2 linked regions of the Drosophila melanogaster genome follow. The protein of the gene in region 1 interacts with the protein of each later gene in a pairwise test. Each region holds a gene or a part of one and is shown on either strand. Other genes may lie near its edges. The genes, in order: Gdh and CG15564.

What was found.
Region 2: the proteins of Gdh (region 1) and CG15564 interact in a two-hybrid assay, tested with the Drosophila melanogaster proteins (one large-scale study listed by BioGRID).

What each region holds. Positions count from the first base shown.
Region 1 is NT_033777.3:23,936,099-23,946,522, reverse strand, and holds the start of Gdh (glutamate dehydrogenase), read left to right. Parts: upstream 1-3,421; 5' UTR 3,422-3,511; coding exon 3,512-3,929; intron 3,930-7,752; exon of another isoform or gene 7,753-7,900; intron 7,901-7,967; coding exon 7,968-8,402; intron 8,403-8,471; coding exon 8,472-8,791; intron 8,792-8,895; coding exon 8,896-9,100; intron 9,101-9,503; coding exon 9,504-9,542; intron 9,543-9,877; coding exon 9,878-10,149; 3' UTR 10,150-10,424. Other genes in the region: CG12268 (uncharacterized protein), read left to right, coding at 1,112-1,506, 1,729-1,838, 1,908-2,358, 2,417-2,834.
Region 2 is NT_033777.3:31,231,122-31,238,816, forward strand, and holds CG15564 (uncharacterized protein), read right to left. Parts: upstream 4,242-7,695; 5' UTR 4,161-4,241; coding exon 3,978-4,160; intron 3,100-3,977; coding exon 2,983-3,099; intron 2,918-2,982; coding exon 2,641-2,917; intron 2,584-2,640; coding exon 2,426-2,583; intron 2,357-2,425; coding exon 2,267-2,356; intron 2,210-2,266; coding exon 1,499-2,209; 3' UTR 1,294-1,498; downstream 1-1,293. Other genes in the region: CG15563 (uncharacterized protein), read right to left, coding at 823-1,173; qless, read right to left, coding at 6,107-6,328, 6,847-7,041, 7,232-7,363.

The sequences.
Region 1 (10,424 bases):
ATAAAGCCCAGCCCCCTCGTTTTAAGCAGCTTAATTAGCAGCTACTTAGATTGCCATTCTCCGTTGTACCACATGACGTATGCGTAATGGCCATATAAAGTGCAACGAAGTGCATCAAAATTCCATGGAATCGTATAATGTGCTATGTTGCCAATTAAAACTAACTATATTGATTTGTGTGATTTGGATTTTCTAATAATTACTAGCTGAAGCAAAAAAAAAAGCATTTCCGGGGGTTCTCCAAAAAGTATTGAGCAATATTTACTAACAGCACAACTAAAATTCTAAACCACAAAGAATATATGACTAAAGCTATTTTCGTAATTCCCTAGTAAATGTTTGATATTTCATAATACTGCTTATGGTATTATTACGACTGAGAACCCCAAAATTTTAGCTTGCATGAAGCACAAAAGTGTGTAAGTCTCGTATTGCATAGCTACTATAGTTTTGATACAATTAATCATTTATTTATTATTCGTTTATGACTGTATAATGGTTTTCCGCTTATTTTAAAGTGTGATATGTGAGTCAGTCATAGATTGAGACACTCCATTTCAATTCAGCCACACGTCAATAAAGATCTTACAAAATGCGAAGCGATGAGTGTTTCAGTATTATGGCCTTGCCCACCGGCCGTTAGCCATAATTTCCACTTCAGACAGCCTGACAATTCCGAATCCGAATCCGAATCGCGACGCACTCGCACGTGAACTCAGATATAAATTCTATATAATTATACGCTATAACTGAACTAATACCCCGTTTGCCCTCCGGCAAAAAAGGGGAAAACCTCAAACGCAACTCCCGCAAATTACCAAATTATCGCACAGCTCAAAGACACTGAGATTCGGTGTTACGTGGAGTCCACAATGCAACCCACTCAAACACATCCACGGCGTTTATAAGTCAAGGTGATCATTATTGGTAGAAAAAATCCAAAAACTTACAATGACTCTTAATTGTTGGACGTTAAGCCGGCGCTGAAACCAGCGACATGGCCCATTACGCGATTCTAGCCAGTGGAACAGCAGGCCATTTGGATCCAAATTGCAATTCCAACGCCATGACACTTAACTAATGACCGACCGCCTCTTGTTTTCGCTTTCAGATCTTTGGCAAGCTGCTGGAGAAGAATCCCGGCATCGTGGACAAGGTGCGCGTGGTAAAGGGCGATCTGCTGGAGCCGGACCTTGGCCTGAGCGCCAATGACACCAACACACTCGCCTCCAACGTCGAGGTGGTCTTCCACTGTGCGGCCAATGTGCGCTTCGACCAGCCGCTGCGTCCCATGGTCATGATGAACGTGGTGGGCACCCTGAAGGTCCTCCGCCTCGCTGAGAAGATGAGCCAGCTGCAGGCTCTGGTCCACGTGTCCACCTCATACTGCCAGTGCAACGAGAGCGTTCTGGAGGAGCGAGCCTACCCGGCTCCACAGAACCCCTTCTCCATCATCGAAATGGTGGAGACGATGGACGACGAAGCTCTGGCGGAGATTACACCCAAGTAAGTGGTTGAAATTGCTCTTCCTGAGCCGCAGATATTATTGCTCTTATTATTCGCGTCCAATGAATTTTGAGCAGCACTTACTTTTAGTAAACAAACGCTTATAAAGATTTGGGCTATCTAAATACTGGCTGAAATATAATGAAGTGCCTATAGTTTCATGCTCCTTTACAGGCGTACCTTGGTGGCACCTAATAACCAGTTTCTTTGGCTTATTTTTAGATTACTAAACGGCTTGCCAAACACGTACGCTTACAGCAAGGCGCTGTCGGAAGATTTAATTTGCAGATACAACAATAAGCTGCCCATAATCATCACAAGGCCCTCGATCGGTGGGTATACCATAGTGTCTACTCTGTTTTTGTGCCTCCTGGCTAATTGCTTTATTAAATCCATTGCAGTGACGGCCGCCATTCACGAGCCATTGCCCGGCTGGATCGAGGGCGTCAATGGACCCACCGGCCTAATGATCGGCGCCGCCCGCGGAGTCATCCGATCGATGCACTGCAATCCGGACTACGCCTCCACGGTGATACCCGTAGACAAGGCCATTAACGGCATGATCCTGTGCGGCTATCAGCGCGGAAAGGCCAGCCAGGAGAAGGGTAACAAGCAGACGGGTGTTGAGTTCTGCAATCTGTGCATCTCCAGCAAGGCGCTGATGTCCTGGGGCGACAGCATCGAGACGGGTCGTCGATTCTTCTACGAAACGCCGCTCAGCTTTGCGCTCTGGTATCCGGGTGGATCCATCAAAAAGAACTACTACCACCACCTTTTCTGCGTCATCTTCTTCCACTATCTGCCCGCATACTTCATCGACTTTTGGCTGCTCGTCTTTGGCCAAAAGCCATTGTAAGTAAACGGTTAAATTTTAAGTTCTCCTATTAACACATGGATTATTCCCATCCAGCTTACTCAATGTCCAACGCAAAGTGTCCATGGGTCTGAAGCTGCTGCAGTACTACACAACGAAAAGGTGGGAGTTCCGAAACGAGCGCTTCCAGGAGATGAGCAGTCAGCTGAGCCTCCTGGATCAGGACCTCTTCGACACGTCGGTGGGTCAGGTCAATTGGGAGACATACATCAGTAACTACATTGTGGGCATGCGCACCTATATACTGGGCGAGAGCGAGGACACTCTGCCGCAGGCCAGGAAGGTCCTGCGACGGCTGTATATCCTCGACTGGGTCAGCAAAGTGCTGTTTTTCTCCCTGAGCTTCTGGTTCCTGTGGACCCATTTGGATGGCTTCGTGGAACGGAGCGATGCCTTCATCCGATCCTCGCTCAGCACCATTTACCATGAGCGAAACAGCACCATACATGTATAAACTCTTCTTTAATTATGTACTTCAAATATAGTCCACAAGATTTTGTTTCTTTTTAAGTAAGCTAGCTGTGTTTTATTTCTATTTTAACTAAGGATTAAAACTCAAAACAGTCACATAGGAATTGTGTGAAAGATCAATAGCATGATAAGCCCGAAAGTTACGTGGTAAATTCCTGAAAGTATGAGCTCTAAATAAAAAATTTAGCAAAACCTTTAAAAAAACACCTTATATAAAATATACCTTGTATATATCGTTTGTATTGTACTGTACGATGTTTATTACTTAGATTTTCAAGTGCTTTCTAAAAGAAACTCAGTACCCCCCTGAATTCAACATATAGCCGAAGATGATAAATCATAGCTTAATCTTGGAGTCAAAGAAAAACGTGAACGTGAAACCGATAACAAATACCTAATCTCGCCCTGGCAACGAAGCGAGTAATCCGCCGGCGGTGGTGCCGCGTTTCTAGCGGGCACTCCACCCACAGAGCTTTTCGGTGAAAAGTTTGCACCGCTCTCGCCGGAGAGCAAAAAGCTCGGCGCTCCGAAAAAGCCGACATATATATACATATCTATGCGAGTGCCTCGGCCAGTTTGGTGCGGCGTCGAGTAGCGAGCGGTTGTGTAGAACAGAATAAAAAAAGAGTTGGAACCCGAAGAATCCAAGCGATTAGCAGCATGTATCACCTGAAGAGTCTGGCCCGCCAGGGCGCCCGCCGCCAGCAGGAGCTGGCCACGCTGGCCAAGGCACTGCCCACCGCTGTGATGCAGTCGAGCCGCGGCTATGCCACCGAGCACCAGATTCCCGACCGCCTCAAGGATGTGCCCACCGCCAAGGATCCGCGCTTCTTCGACATGGTCGAGTATTTCTTCCATCGCGGCTGCCAAATCGCCGAGGAATCGCTGGTGGACGACATGAAGGGCAAGCTGACCCGCGACGAGAAGAAGCAGAAGGTGAAGGGCATCCTCATGCTGATGCAGCCCTGCGACCACATCATCGAGATCGCCTTCCCCCTGCGCCGCGATGCCGGCAACTACGAGATGATCACCGGCTACCGCGCCCAGCACAGCACCCACAAGACGCCCACCAAGGGAGGCAAGTGTTGATCCAAGATAACCCAAGATATAATAGTCAGAACTCTGCACGTAGGTAGTAAAAAATGAGACGTTAAGAGGTTTTCAAAAGGGATGCAAACAAAAGTGCCAAACCTATAGAGACCACTAGATGATTCAGTTTTCCTTGAAAATCTAAAACAAAAAATGCAATTACCTAGCAAGTTTAAAGCAAAAATTTGTCAACACTTACTTAAGTTTTAAGAAACCCTCAGAACAGCTGTTGTCGCTCGATGCAAAATCGATTTTTCCTTAGGCATTTCTGGCATTTCGTCTTGATTTTTCAAGTTATGTAACCCAGTATATAAGCCACACCAGACCAGACCCCCTTTTCCCCACGTTCTGCGCATGTACCGCTGCCGCCTGTTTTGTTTACGTTTTAGCCGACTGGGCTCCCCCTTTCTCCACATTTTTTTTTTTTTTTTTTTTGTTATTTGAGGGTTTTTAGGCCGCATTGCATAAGGCTCGGACGTTGGGCACACGTGTTTGCATTAGATTTCCAAACCCTTCAAGTGTGCCACCATTCAAAAACAGATGTACATATGCTGAATGTACTGCCCGCTTTTCGCACATTTCATTATTTTCGAGCTGGCAAATGTATTTCGATTCTTTCGCTGCTGTTTGTTTTTCCTTTGGCTGGGTGCTATTTATAATGAACTTTTGCTTGTGTTTTGCTTTCTAATTGAAATGAGAGCACAGCACTGCACAGTGTGTCAAGTGCTAAAAAAAAAGTAACGCCCCTAACCACCAAAAAAAAAAAGAAAAAATCTCCTTGTTGTCAGGCCACAAAAATTGTTTGTTCCGAATTCTGTTCCTTTTTTTTTTGCTTCATCTCAAATTATTAATTATAGAATCAGTTTGGTGCTTATCAAAAGCAAAAAAAAAAGAACACAAAAAATATGTAGTGAAAAATATTCGACTAGGGAATCTTATCTGACCTTGGTTATGCGCAAAAATAGAAAACAGAAACAGCCGAAAAAACGCTATGCCCCTAAAATTTGTTGTTTACGATTATTGCCACGCTTCTTAACACTTTATGATCTTGTTTTCGATCCATAGATCGATCGATCGATCATGTGGCTTAGTTAGTTGGGTCACCAAAAGTTGTAAACAGCCTGTTACTAAGTGAATTGAATCCACCTTATGGCTCGTTAATGATTCACTCAAATAGCCAGCTCTCTGCTATTTCAGTCAAAGGTGCTAAAAATTGCTAGTCTATTTATTTACTTAGTACTACTAGATCAATGGACAGTGTTTAATGGCCACCATTTTGTGCGCTCCATGCTCTAATTAATGTTAATTCCCGCTGATGCATCTGCCATTTGGCTGTTAATTATTTAATACGTTCTGCGTATGTACATACATCAAGTCCCCGGTCTCGAATTTCGGCAAAAGTGCCCCTTTAAAAAAAAAACAGCCGGCTCATGAATTTCGTTTCGTTTGGTTCCCTGTCCAAATGTCGAGTTGTGTGTGCCTCTAAAGAACTGGTTTTAATTTGCCCGGGGTGTCTGTCCGTTCGGCTTTGTTCACGTGATAGTCACGTTGTGCCAAAAAAAAAAGAATTGAACAAAAACTGCGAGTTTATGATATATGCGTCATACGCTTCACCACTGTGCTGGTTTTCTTTAATTTTTTTTTTTTCAACAAATGGGGGTCCATTCAAAACCGATTTGATCTGGCCTACGACTGTGGAACTTTCTACACATGTCGATGAACCGATCTAAATTGTCTAGTCAATTGAGTGGTCTGCTTTGCATTTACTCAACCACAAGTACAAGTGATGCATTCAAACTCGAATCGAACGCGACAAAATAAAAAACTGATAATGTAAAGCGGCCCTATCGCCAATGTATTATTTATACATATTTATTATACACATGTGGCGACAAATGTACACACATTAGTTCAAGTAAATAGCGTTGCCCACAAGTACTTGGCAGTTATCTTATTGACAAACATGTTTCCATTCTATTTGCTACCCGTCGAGAGTTGCACTCGAAAAATGCGTATGCAAATCGTGTTAATTGTGTTACACTCAAGTTGATTCCCCGATACTTACCTCGCCCTGGAAAAAAAACAAACAAACCTGTACCCATTATCTAGTTCACAGCTAAATAGTTGATCACGATGGTATCGACATCGAAATGGCATGTTTCTTAGCACTCAACTTCGCTGGGGGTGCGTCCATATCTGCGTCACTTCCGTTCTTATCCCCCCAATCTTATCGAGCATTGAGATCTCAAGGCCCCCACTGACAAAAAGATTTCGGAGAAGTTTTTGCACTCGGCGGCATTCTAATCATATGGCGTAGAATTCTGGTCAGCTGACTTGGTGAGGCAACCGGTTTGGTCTATTCGAAAAACAAAAAGATCGTCGCCTGTTGCCAATGGGGAATATATACATATGGGCATACTTATAGACGTGGCTATATGGCACACACACACACAGCCACACGATCGAGCCCCCAAATGTGTTATCGCACCACCGATTGTATAAGCAGCAGCATGCCCAACTAGACTATATAGGCAGCTATCTTTGGAACCTTAATAGATTCATTCTTTCTGTATTGTTTTTCGAAAAATTTTTGGCAAAAAACGAAAACAAGTCGACTGATCAAGCCGGTTGGTGCTGTTACTCTGGCATTTCGTCTGCTGTTTTTTTTTGTTTGTTTCTTATGGTAAACATAAGCGAAAAGAAAGGCGAAGAATGGGGCTTCGCCAAATAGAGAATGATTCGCTGTCGTCAAGCGCGGTGGGTACAGTCAGCACCATTCTCAGCTGGACTTGGGATTCGATTCGATATGAGGGCTTAGCTCACTCAGCGGAAAGGCAAAGCGAAGACGCCAAATGGCTGTAAAAAAAAGGCTCTGCAAACTCAAAAACCACTCATTATAAACTGAAAGTCTGGCTTTAAATTAATAAATGCTACGTGAATACAATCTTCCCAACACCAGCTCACTAATCTTAAAGTTTATTATTAAAAAGCACAGATTATGTGCTCCTTAAGATTAAAGATTCAGTAACAGCACGGAAGAACCTATTTTTAGGTTGTTTACAAGCATACCGGATCATAATTCACTTCAGTCGCGACAGGATAGTGTACTTTAAAATCAGACTGGCCCTTGAAAAACAATGATACACAAATAAGTTCCAATCGGTACATAATGAATTGTAATTTTTTGAAATTGTGTACTCATCGTTTTATTTGTTTATAAGTTCCAGTTGCCGGGCCCCAAAAAAATGCTACACAGCTGATAATGTCAAGAACTTATTTCGAGTGCCAAAAGCAAATTCAGAGATTGTTTTTTGTGTGGAGAAACCAAAAATTTGCTTGATTCATGGTCACTATCGACCGGCCACTTGGCAACAAGGCATTTAATTTAATCGCAAAAATTAAGCTAATTTTGGATTTTATAGTCTTGTTTTTTGGGGGCTCGTCCCGGGGTTCTAATGGGGAAGTCATTAATTTACCTAGTTCTACATACAAATTTACGTATGTATAAAGGCCATTTGGTGGAACTTGCTCTTGCCAATAAAGCAGCATTTATATTTATCGATCCATAAAAAGCGGGCACTTTGCACTTTTAAGTTCTTACAATTAAAACACCCTTGTTAAATTCGAATTACAAGCACGAAATTTTGGCTTATCTAATCGCGCCGACTTCCCAAAGATATAAACATTATATGTGCCAAGCAAATAAAGATAAGAGCCAAGGAGGGGTTTTATGGTTTCTGTTCATGGGATTGTTGCGCCATCGGCGAAAGGTTTCCCCACGTCTGCCAGATGCAATGATTTTGTTTTTAGGGCACGTGCTTTAGTAAAACAGCCAAGAAATGTTCGGTTGTATCATCGATTCGAGGAGAACTTTTGCTTTCCGCGAGGAATTCGTGTAGTTTGTCGTCTATTTTTGTATTTGTCTGTTGGATTTAGACCAAAAATGAAAGCTGCAACAAGGTCGCCGAAAGTTCTGAGCACACCTGTCGTATACGTAATGTGCTTATGCAATTCTTTTCCCTTGCAGGCATCCGTTTCTCGTTGGATGTGTCACGCGATGAGGTCAAAGCCCTGTCCGCCCTGATGACCTTCAAGTGCGCCTGCGTGGATGTGCCATTCGGCGGAGCCAAGGCCGGTCTGAAGATCAACCCTAAGGAGTACTCCGAGCACGAGCTGGAGAAGATCACCCGTCGCTTCACCCTTGAGTTGGCCAAGAAGGGCTTCATTGGACCCGGTGTCGATGTGCCCGCCCCCGACATGGGAACCGGTGAGCGCGAGATGTCCTGGATTGCCGATACTTATGCCAAGACCATCGGTCACCTGGACATCAATGCTCATGCCTGTGTCACCGGCAAGCCCATCAACCAGGGCGGTATCCACGGACGCGTCTCGGCCACCGGTCGCGGTGTCTTCCACGGCCTGGAGAACTTCATCAACGAGGCCAACTACATGAGCCAGATCGGTGAGTGTTGCATCATGATTGTCTAGTTATGAAAGTGCATCATCCTAATGGTAATATCTACATTCTTAGGCACCACTCCCGGCTGGGGCGGCAAGACCTTCATCGTCCAGGGCTTCGGTAACGTGGGCCTGCACACCACTCGCTATCTGACCCGCGCCGGAGCCACCTGCATCGGTGTCATTGAGCACGACGGCACTCTGTACAACCCGGAGGGCATTGACCCTAAGCTGCTGGAGGACTACAAGAACGAGCACGGCACCATTGTGGGCTACCAGAACGCCAAGCCCTACGAGGGCGAGAACCTCATGTTCGAGAAGTGCGACATCTTCATTCCCGCTGCCGTCGAGAAGGTCATCACCAGCGAGAATGCCAACCGCATTCAAGCTAAGGTAAAGTCTTAATTGAATATAACAAAAGAATCTTGTAAAAATGGGAATATATTCCCGTTTCAAAATGGTTAATATATATTTTAAATAATTTTCATCAATTTTAGATCATTGCCGAGGCTGCCAACGGCCCCACCACCCCCGCTGCCGACAAGATCCTCATCGATCGCAACATCCTGGTCATTCCCGATCTGTACATCAACGCCGGTGGTGTCACCGTCTCCTTCTTCGAGTGGCTGAAGAACCTGAACCACGTCTCGTACGGTCGCCTGACCTTCAAGTATGAGCGCGAGTCCAACTACCATCTGCTTGGTAAGTTTATCACACTATTATTATGCAAAACAATAGGCTCTTGAAGGCACTTGCTCCTCATCTCGTTATCTATCAATCTATCTATCTATCTGAATAAGTATACTTTGGCCCATTGATCATGCCATCTCATTGATTGGTTTATGGATTTAGTTATGCTATTTATTTTAGAAAACACAAAACCTATTAGAAAAGCGCTTGCTCTTTCGGCATTTGCTCTTCCCATATTGGTTCAGTACTTCCAAATTTCGTTTCTCGTCAATTTACTTTCGATTTATTATCCACCTACACCTGAAAATCAAACCATAACCAAGAGACTCTAAGATCGTTATATAATTTTGAAGTATCATCTAAGTAATTCGTTGTTTATTCTTCTTCTTTTTCCGTTTCTCTATCAACAATGTAGCCTCAGTCCAACAGTCAATTGAAAGAATCATTAATGACGGTACATTCTGATTATTAATTCTTTTCGTTACCACCTATCCATCCTTAAGCCCAAAAAACTTTTTCTACCTCATGTTTACCTTTTTTGTAGTTAGTTTTGTTCTGTAACGTTTATTTTGTGCATTTATTACTTGTTGCTTTATCCAAAAAAAAAAAAACACAATATCATAATCAGACTAATACCAGGAACCATCCAATCCTATGCTTTAATTCGGTATCTAATTATTTGGTGGCTTAAAAAACCCTGTCATATATGTATATGTGGTCCCTTGAGCATGTGGCACTCTTAACTAATCGCTTTGTCCTTTTGTTTCCCCCATCGCTGTTTTCCTGCAGAATCCGTTCAAGAGTCCCTGGAGCGTCGCTTCGGCCGTGTGGGCGGTCGCATCCCCGTGACCCCCTCCGAGTCGTTCCAGAAGCGCATCTCCGGCGCCTCCGAGAAGGATATCGTGCACTCCGGCCTGGACTACACCATGGAGCGCTCCGCCCGCGCCATCATGAAGACAGCCATGAAGTACAACCTGGGCCTGGACCTCAGAACCGCTGCCTACGTCAACTCCATTGAGAAGATCTTCACCACATACCGCGATGCCGGCCTGGCCTTCTAAGCCCGCTGAGTGTGCTGATTAGCCCCCAGACTCTTAACTAGTTAATTAAGCAATCGAACTCAAGAGCATAACTATTGCTATTGCTCCATGCACCGCCGTCTTAGATGAAAAGTCACAAAACCGAAATGCAAGAATCGTAATTTATATCTATGGCAATTGGAGCTGGCCAAAATAACTCTTTTAAAAAACAAAGCAAAACAAAAGCGAACTTTCGCCCGTGTTTCGTATTAAGTTGAACAAGTTGCGAGCTTATTATTGTTGATTTTCTGTAATTT
Region 2 (7,695 bases), 7.3 Mb from region 1:
AGCTCAAAGGGGATAATTGGCACATCCATAAGCCAGAAGAAATCATTATCATCCACAAAAACAAAAAAAAAGTAGTAAAATATTCTCTTTTTGCTTTATGTGATCTATTACATACTACATAAACATATGTATAATAATAAAAATGTCCTTCAAAAACAAACTCGAGAGAAATGATTGAATTTATTTTTCCTAGCAGTCGGAACGATGCAGTTTGAGGGCAACTGTTTAATGCTAAAACAGTTTGATGGGAACTGGTTGCCAACGAATATTTAGGTACAGTAATCGCTATGTTAAAAGTGGTTTTAATTTATTAATATATTTTATTTTTCTGTATAATTGATTGTTTTGTATTTACAAGATATTACTTATGCTATATATAAGCCAAAATGAATTATTTGTCAATATTAAATTAACAAAGATTCGAAAGAGTTCGTAGATCTATTTTTTTCTTTATTACCTATTTATTAAACTACCTACACTCTCCATCAAAAGAGATTTTGTAATTTAATTCACCACCCTGACCATATTTTTTAGTTTTCCCTTAATTTAGAAAACAACCTATTCAAAACTTTGGTCAACTTACTAGAAGCAAGTTGGCAAAATTTTCACAGAGATAGTACAAATGACATATAGGCTGATATTAATATTACTGGAATTGCGAACTTGAAGAACCTAAAATAGTAATAAATAAATAATTACTCCAGTAATGTGATTTCATGGGTCTTGGCATCGATTGATTTCTGAGCAGATGACTTAAGCGCACAAACTACGAGCCAGTCAGAAGGTGAGGGAATATCCTTGAATATCCAAGAATCCTTGGCCTTACGCCGATTCGCTGGCGCCATAGAGCAGATTGTCCAGTTTCAGTTTGTTGATCTTGTCGCCACGGGCTCCATGTCCTGGTCTGCCCCAGAACGTTTCGAATGTGTCGAAATGTTGGTTGCACAGATCCCTGTCCAGTTGCTTGGAAACGGAGACGGATCGACGGTTCTGCGAGATCTGGACATTCAGGTCGTGCAGATAGCGCATGTCGGCGGCCGTTTGAATCCTGGTTGCCGGTCGATTGGTGGGCAGCAATATTATAGTTTCATTTATATCAGTTCGATTTTTCAGATTTCGAATTTTCGATTTTCGGTTTTCAGTTCGATTTGTTTTGCACGGGGATACATACATAGAAGATTGGTATTATGATTTTTGACTTTTGCTGTTGCGGTTTGTTTGATTTTGGTGAGATTGGTATTTGGTTTGCTCGTTTGGTTGCTATACTTTCACTTGTATTACAATGGATATTTTCTTGCTGGATGAGCCGAGGAGAAGTGGGGGATTAGAGAAACCATTAACAGAACAAGATCACAAGGCAAAGGCATAGAGGGGCAAGCGGACTTTCGTTTCAATGTCTGGCGCAGAGCAAGCAAATGAGAAACGGTGGGAGCAGGGAGGTGGTGGAATGGTAGTACTATGAAAGCAGGAGGGGATCGGGATTGATAGAACGTGGGTTTCAAGCCTGGCGAATGTGCAGGGTCAGCCGCTTGAGGCAGCAGCCCGTGGCCAAGGCCGTGGGGCAATCGCAACTGCAACACTGCAGCTTGCAGTTCAGATTCTTGGGCAGCCGCTTCATGTGGCTAATGTTCTTGATGATGCTGTTGATGCACTTGATCTTGGTGGTGGTCAGCTGACAGTTCTTTGGTGGATGCTTGTGCTTGGATGCGTACCTATCGTGCGACGGTGTCCTCTTGGTCACGTCCGTGCTGGAGAGACTGATGGGTCGGTGCATGCCACGCCTTCTGGCGAGCAGGGGAACCAGCTCCACCCCACCACCTTCGCCATAGGCTCCTCCCTTTCCTCCCGCTGTGCTGGGATCCGGAGTGGCGGTACTGGTGCTCCCGGGACAGGGACCTCTCGACGCTATGCGGGGGCACAACTTGATGGGCTTGCTACCGCAGTCCTGCGGCTTCAAGTGGTGCAGCATTTTTCCGGGCGGCGGACCTGGCGGACCCGGGCACTTTTTGCCTGGCGGAATGGGAAGTGAGAGTGGCGACGGCTTGGGCGGACTCTTTTGCATGGCGGGACATTTGCAAGTGCACAACTCACAGCAGCGCTGCGGCTTTGGTGGCTTGCCTGGTCGCGATTTGCGAAAGGTGTTCTTCTCCGCGGGAGTCACCGGGTTATCTTGGTCCAACTCCTTCAGCATCTCCTTGTTCGTCCAACCCTGAAATTAGATTATATTTAAACAGTGTACATATGAGCACAAGCGACTGATACCCACCAGTGACTTCATGAACGTGTTGCCCACTTCCTTGGGACTCCGCCATGGCTTGCCGCCCGGACCCGCCTTGCCCCACGGCTCCTTGCAGGACTAGAAGGAGGACAGATAAAGAGGGATTAGTTAAACTTGGTTTCAGGGGGCGTAATAAGTGCCGCTCACCGGCTTTTCGAGTTTGGCTTGCAAGCGCTTCTTCTGAGTGGCCAGCTTTTCCTGCAAAGGACATCGCTGCTCACTCTCGCTGACTACGATCTTCTCCAGAAGCGGCTTCCCCTTGCACGGAGGAGAGGGCTTGTACCGCAATTCTATGTCCACATGGCCTTTATTGCGAAACGACATTGAAGGATGTTCTTTCAGCTCGATGTGAAGGCTCTCACCGTTGGCGTTTTTGGCCACATTGACACCAACTGCCGCTCCGGGCTTGTGCGGAATCTCCCGCTCGCAAATCGTTACGGTGCTGCTCCTGGGACCACTTTCCTGCAGGTGATGGACCGAGTGGGCGTGGCCCAGTCGGCCACCCGGCGGCGGAGCAGGCGGGGCGTGGTGGTGGTGGTGATGGTAGGCGGCCAGCGGGTTGTTGTGGCACTTCTTCTGCATCGAGAAGAAGTCGTTGTAGCGACACGGCTGCAGTAGATTCATTCGGTGGGCATTGGTCTGCGGCACATTCAAATTATTGGAGTAGAATATATGTTATTCGAGAAGGATTCAAGAGTCCTTACCACTGTGGGCGTCGAGTGAAGGCCAGCGGCTGTGATGTCCTTGCGTCGCACCTCTACGTTGGGTGCCCCACCACCAGGTCGACCCCAGGGACAATGTTGGTGAAACAGGTCGTAGTACTGGATAAAAGAACATTGTTGATACGAATTGATCTTCAACTTATTTCAGTAAAGATTGTGATGCTTGGAAAAATCGTTTAGGCAAACTAACGTATCCTCCGCTGAAATCATGAATCGCATTACCCGCAATAAAGTCACAACATAAATACATTAAATTACTTCCGCAGGACGATTACAACACCGAGTTATGCCTTATCGATTGGGTGGCAGCCTATTTGTGGCTCCAGACTGCCTCAACCCACCTCGTCGTGTCACTCCGCGAAGTGTGGCGATGTTTGTTTACGGAAATTGGCAAATTCAGGAGCTCCCGCTGCCCTGGCCCACAAAGTTTGTTAGTAGGTTGTTGTTATAGTTGCAGCGAACGGCGATTTGCATTTCACTGATTTTTTTCACCCACATTTCGGTTGGCGCTTTCACACAGCTGCAGGTTGTGATAGGTAGTGGAGCAAGGAGCCAGGACTCCAGTCACGCAAGGACTCGCAGGAGTTGGGCTTTTAGCCGAAGAGAGGGGATTTGATTACCGAAGTCGAAATTGTCAAAGGGTTTGTTGAACCAGATCCGCGGGGGCGGATGCCTTACATGTTGCTTGAGGCAGGTCTTTGAACTTACCAAAAGTTGCAACTATTGCGTGGCGGATGGTTCGAGATGTTTTTCGATTGTCATTTCGTTCGTTTCTGGTTTTGCCTTAGACTTAGACAAAGAACTTGGAACTTGGTGAATTGATTATGGCCTTTAAAGTTTTAAAACTAATATATTTAGGGTTCAGAGTTCCAAGCTTAAGGTGTTTCAGGTAACTACTAACAACTTTGCTTGGGGCCCTAAAATATAACTCATACGCACGGTCTGGAAATATCACACACATACGCACTGTTACCCACCTCCTGCTTATCCTTCTCCTTGCGAGCACACTCCTCCGCCTTCCGGCGCCGCCACATGCGAAGACTCTCCTCTGCATTCTTGCGCTCCACAAGACGCTTCTTCTCATCGCACCACATCAGCGGATGCTGGATGTGGTCGTGGCAGAAGTTGCCCCCCATGCCCATTTCATCGCTAGTCGTCATGGCTCTCTGAATGCTCTGGAGATCCTATCTGGATGTTTGGGAAACTGGTAGAACGAGAACAGAAGTAGCGCTGCGTTCAGCAAACGCGGCGTTACTGAATCGGTCTCGTGTCCCATCCAAGCCGTTTAACCGCCGAATTGGCTGCCAGGATCCGTGCCAGGCACTAAAGGGCCGTGGATGATGGGTCGGTTGTCTAGGCAGCACGCCCGACTATTTATAACCTAGGTTAAGGCACACTTCGGTCGTCTGTCCTTGAAGGCGAGTCGAAGGATATCGAAACCTCAGCTAATTTGGTCTGGCTATTTAAATATTTCGCCAGTTAGACACGATGTTTGCCTGCTCCACTTTGCTAGACTGCCTGGACATAAAATATATTGACTTTATGTTGCCTGGAAATAATGCCACGGCTGCGTTGGCTTAACCTGAATCGTGATGCTCTGTTTTAATGAAACGCAAAAGTAAGCCTACTGCAGTATAGCGTGCCACTTAATACGAAACTTGTTGATGTTTTAAAATGAAAAGCTCTTGCAAGCCTAAGCAGCAAGCATTACTCATACGCCCCGTGTGGCAGTTACAATTTCAGCCAGCAACTCACACCGCCAAATTTATTTGTTTGCCCCAATTTCGGTTTCAGCCATGCCCGTTGCAACATAAGGCATTTTGGCCATGTCCAAAACTATTTCACTGGGTCAACCTGGTTGGTGGTTAATATGTTGCATAGCTACAAGCGGCGAAATCAGCTCCAATTTGCTTGTTTTACAAAATCGAATTTTTATTCATCTCATTAGGTATACAAATATCGTAATTACATGTATCAATATCAACATCTGTATCATTATTTTGTCGTTCGCACTCTAAAATATGTGGGTATATCGTCGTCAGCACCCAATTGTATTGATTAACTAGCCAGCAAATTTCTGCATTATATCTTTCATTTGCCTTTCTTTCAGTGTAGAGCAGGCTGTAAAGGAGCCCAATGAATTTGCATCAAAACTAAACGGACAAAAAAACGAATTTCGCTGACTAACTTAACTGAGGTTGTGTTTATAAATTAAAATAAAAACTTACATCTAAAAAGATTTGTAGAACATTTCAACATTTGGGGTTTGCGGTTCGAATTCGTTTCAAATGTCTTTTAAATTACTATTGCATTAGAGGCGGAGAAGAAAGATTTAAAATTAAGACTGGGCAGCATTGTTTCACATACAATCCTCGTTACATTTCTTATAGAACATATTATAATATGCATTTCATGCGCGAATGGTTCAAAATATTTTATTTAATCCAGCTAAACTACGGGCTTTCCACTTTAAGTTACAAGTTTGTGCGGTCGGAAGGGATTTTAAACAGAGTGCAGGCAATGACCATTGAACCATTTAGGCATGAAATGCCCTAAATCAAGTATTAATATAAAATAAACCAATTATGCTCCTCGTGCTTCGTATTAAAAATATCGCTCTACACACTGGCTTTCTTTGTTGCATTGACTAATAAACATTTTCATTTTAAAGTAGATTCCACATTTGGTGCTCGCCTGGCAACCCATTTCCATTCATTTATTTGATGAAATGTTTGTACAATTTTCTCGTTTCCCCTATTGTTGTTGGCTTTTGGCTCATGTTTCGCTCTCTATACATATAAATAAATTTGTCGAAAAACATTGCATACAAAATTTGTCAAAAATTCATTAAACATCTTGTAATTATGTTATGTACAGCGATCGTTGCCATTTAGTGTGTGTTGATTAGGTTTTTTTATGCAATTATTTACAGTGTCAACAACAAATGCCTAAAAACTAAATAATAATTCTTGTTTACAAATTGGCCCGCCGGCTGAACAGGACTTAATCCAAACATCAATGGGCCTACATAACAATATTATTATTAATATTATTATTATTGCATTACGTGTATGGTTTATGTTAGGGTGTTCGGGTGCTCGGTACTCTACTTCATGCGGTTGATGACTAAGTCGGCGACCACCTGGAGACCCTTCTGGTAGGGCGACTCCGTGAGCTCCTGGGCCAGCCGTATCGCCTCGTTGCAGTGCTTCTTGGCCAGAAACCGGGTCTGCTCCAGACCGTGCGACTTGTGCACCAGCTCGAAGGCGCGCTCCACGTCGCCGGGCTCGCTGAAGCGCCGCATCACCATGGGATTCAGCTCGGGGTACTGGAATGTACGGAAAAGGCATTTCAATTATGCAGGTTATGCAGTTTGCAGCTATGTAGCGGCTTTAAACGCACTGCACGCGTGCACAGCCCGCGGAATGCATAGCAAATGGGCATTGGTAATCGGTGGCAATTGATGAGTTACAGTCGCATTGTATCATCTGCGCATCTAGCCAACCACCCACCCACATGACATCATCACACCTTCACCGCCCGCACCATGAATACATCATCGTTGCGATGGCGCGAAGCCACTTTGGATGCATAGCAAATAGACATCTGGACAAAGAGACAGCTCAATCTAGCTCATATATACACAGAGAAAAATGGTAACTCAATCTAAAAAGAAAACACGTAGGTATGCAGACATATGAATTTAAGTGTGGCATACTTTTATACACCTACGATTTACGACTTATGTTGCATTATAACGATTTTTCTCTGTGCACAACGAAACAGCTTAGATTGGTTGGCAAGCCAACTAGGAAATATCCAACAGATCCCAGATTCCGCACTCACCTTCTCGCATGCAAAGAGGACGGGAGCGGTGGCCAGACCCAGCTTCAAATCCGCCGCCGTCGGCTTGCCCATCTGCTCGGTGGAGGAGACAAAGTCCAGCATGTCGTCGACCAGCTGAAAGGCCAAGCCGATGTTGCGTCCGTACTGGAAGGCCACCTCGGCCACGTTGTCGTCGGCCTGGGCAATCACGGCGGTCTGCAGGAGAGCCGGAGCATCGAGAATAGAGAACAGAGAACAGAGGGTTCAAGATCAGCACAAATTGCAGGGGATTGGGCACAATGGTGCGAGACTGCGTGCACACTAATTGCCGAATTAAGCGGCTAGGGTCTGGTCAATAAGTGCCTGGTCTGGTGGTCGGGCTCGCATGATGGTAATGAATACTCACCGCCTTCAGTGCATTGGCGATCAGCGATGCGGTCTTCCTGTATGTCTTGGTCAGATAATGGGCGAAGCGCTCGTTCTCCGTTTCCCTTGAGCCCAGCTGCATGAACTCGCCTTGGACCAAATCGGTCAAGATCTGCAAGAGATTACGAACAAGGCGTCATAAAAATGTCACAGTAAGTGGTTGGGGTTATGGTTATGGCTTCAATTGTTCTCGGCCTGGGGATTCCCGGGCGCAGATGAATGGTTCATTACGCAATTCGCAATGTTTCCCCTACACTGATAAAAAAAAACGGTCGAATTTGCAATATGAATATGGATATTCCAGATATAGCATTTGAATGTTTTTTCCCTAAAAATGAACACATTTCGTCTCGCTTTAAAGCCGCTGATACGCTCGTGTGTGTGTGTGTGTAACTTCCGCTTGGCTAAAACCTCGAATGCAAACAGCAAATACAATTGTGCCAA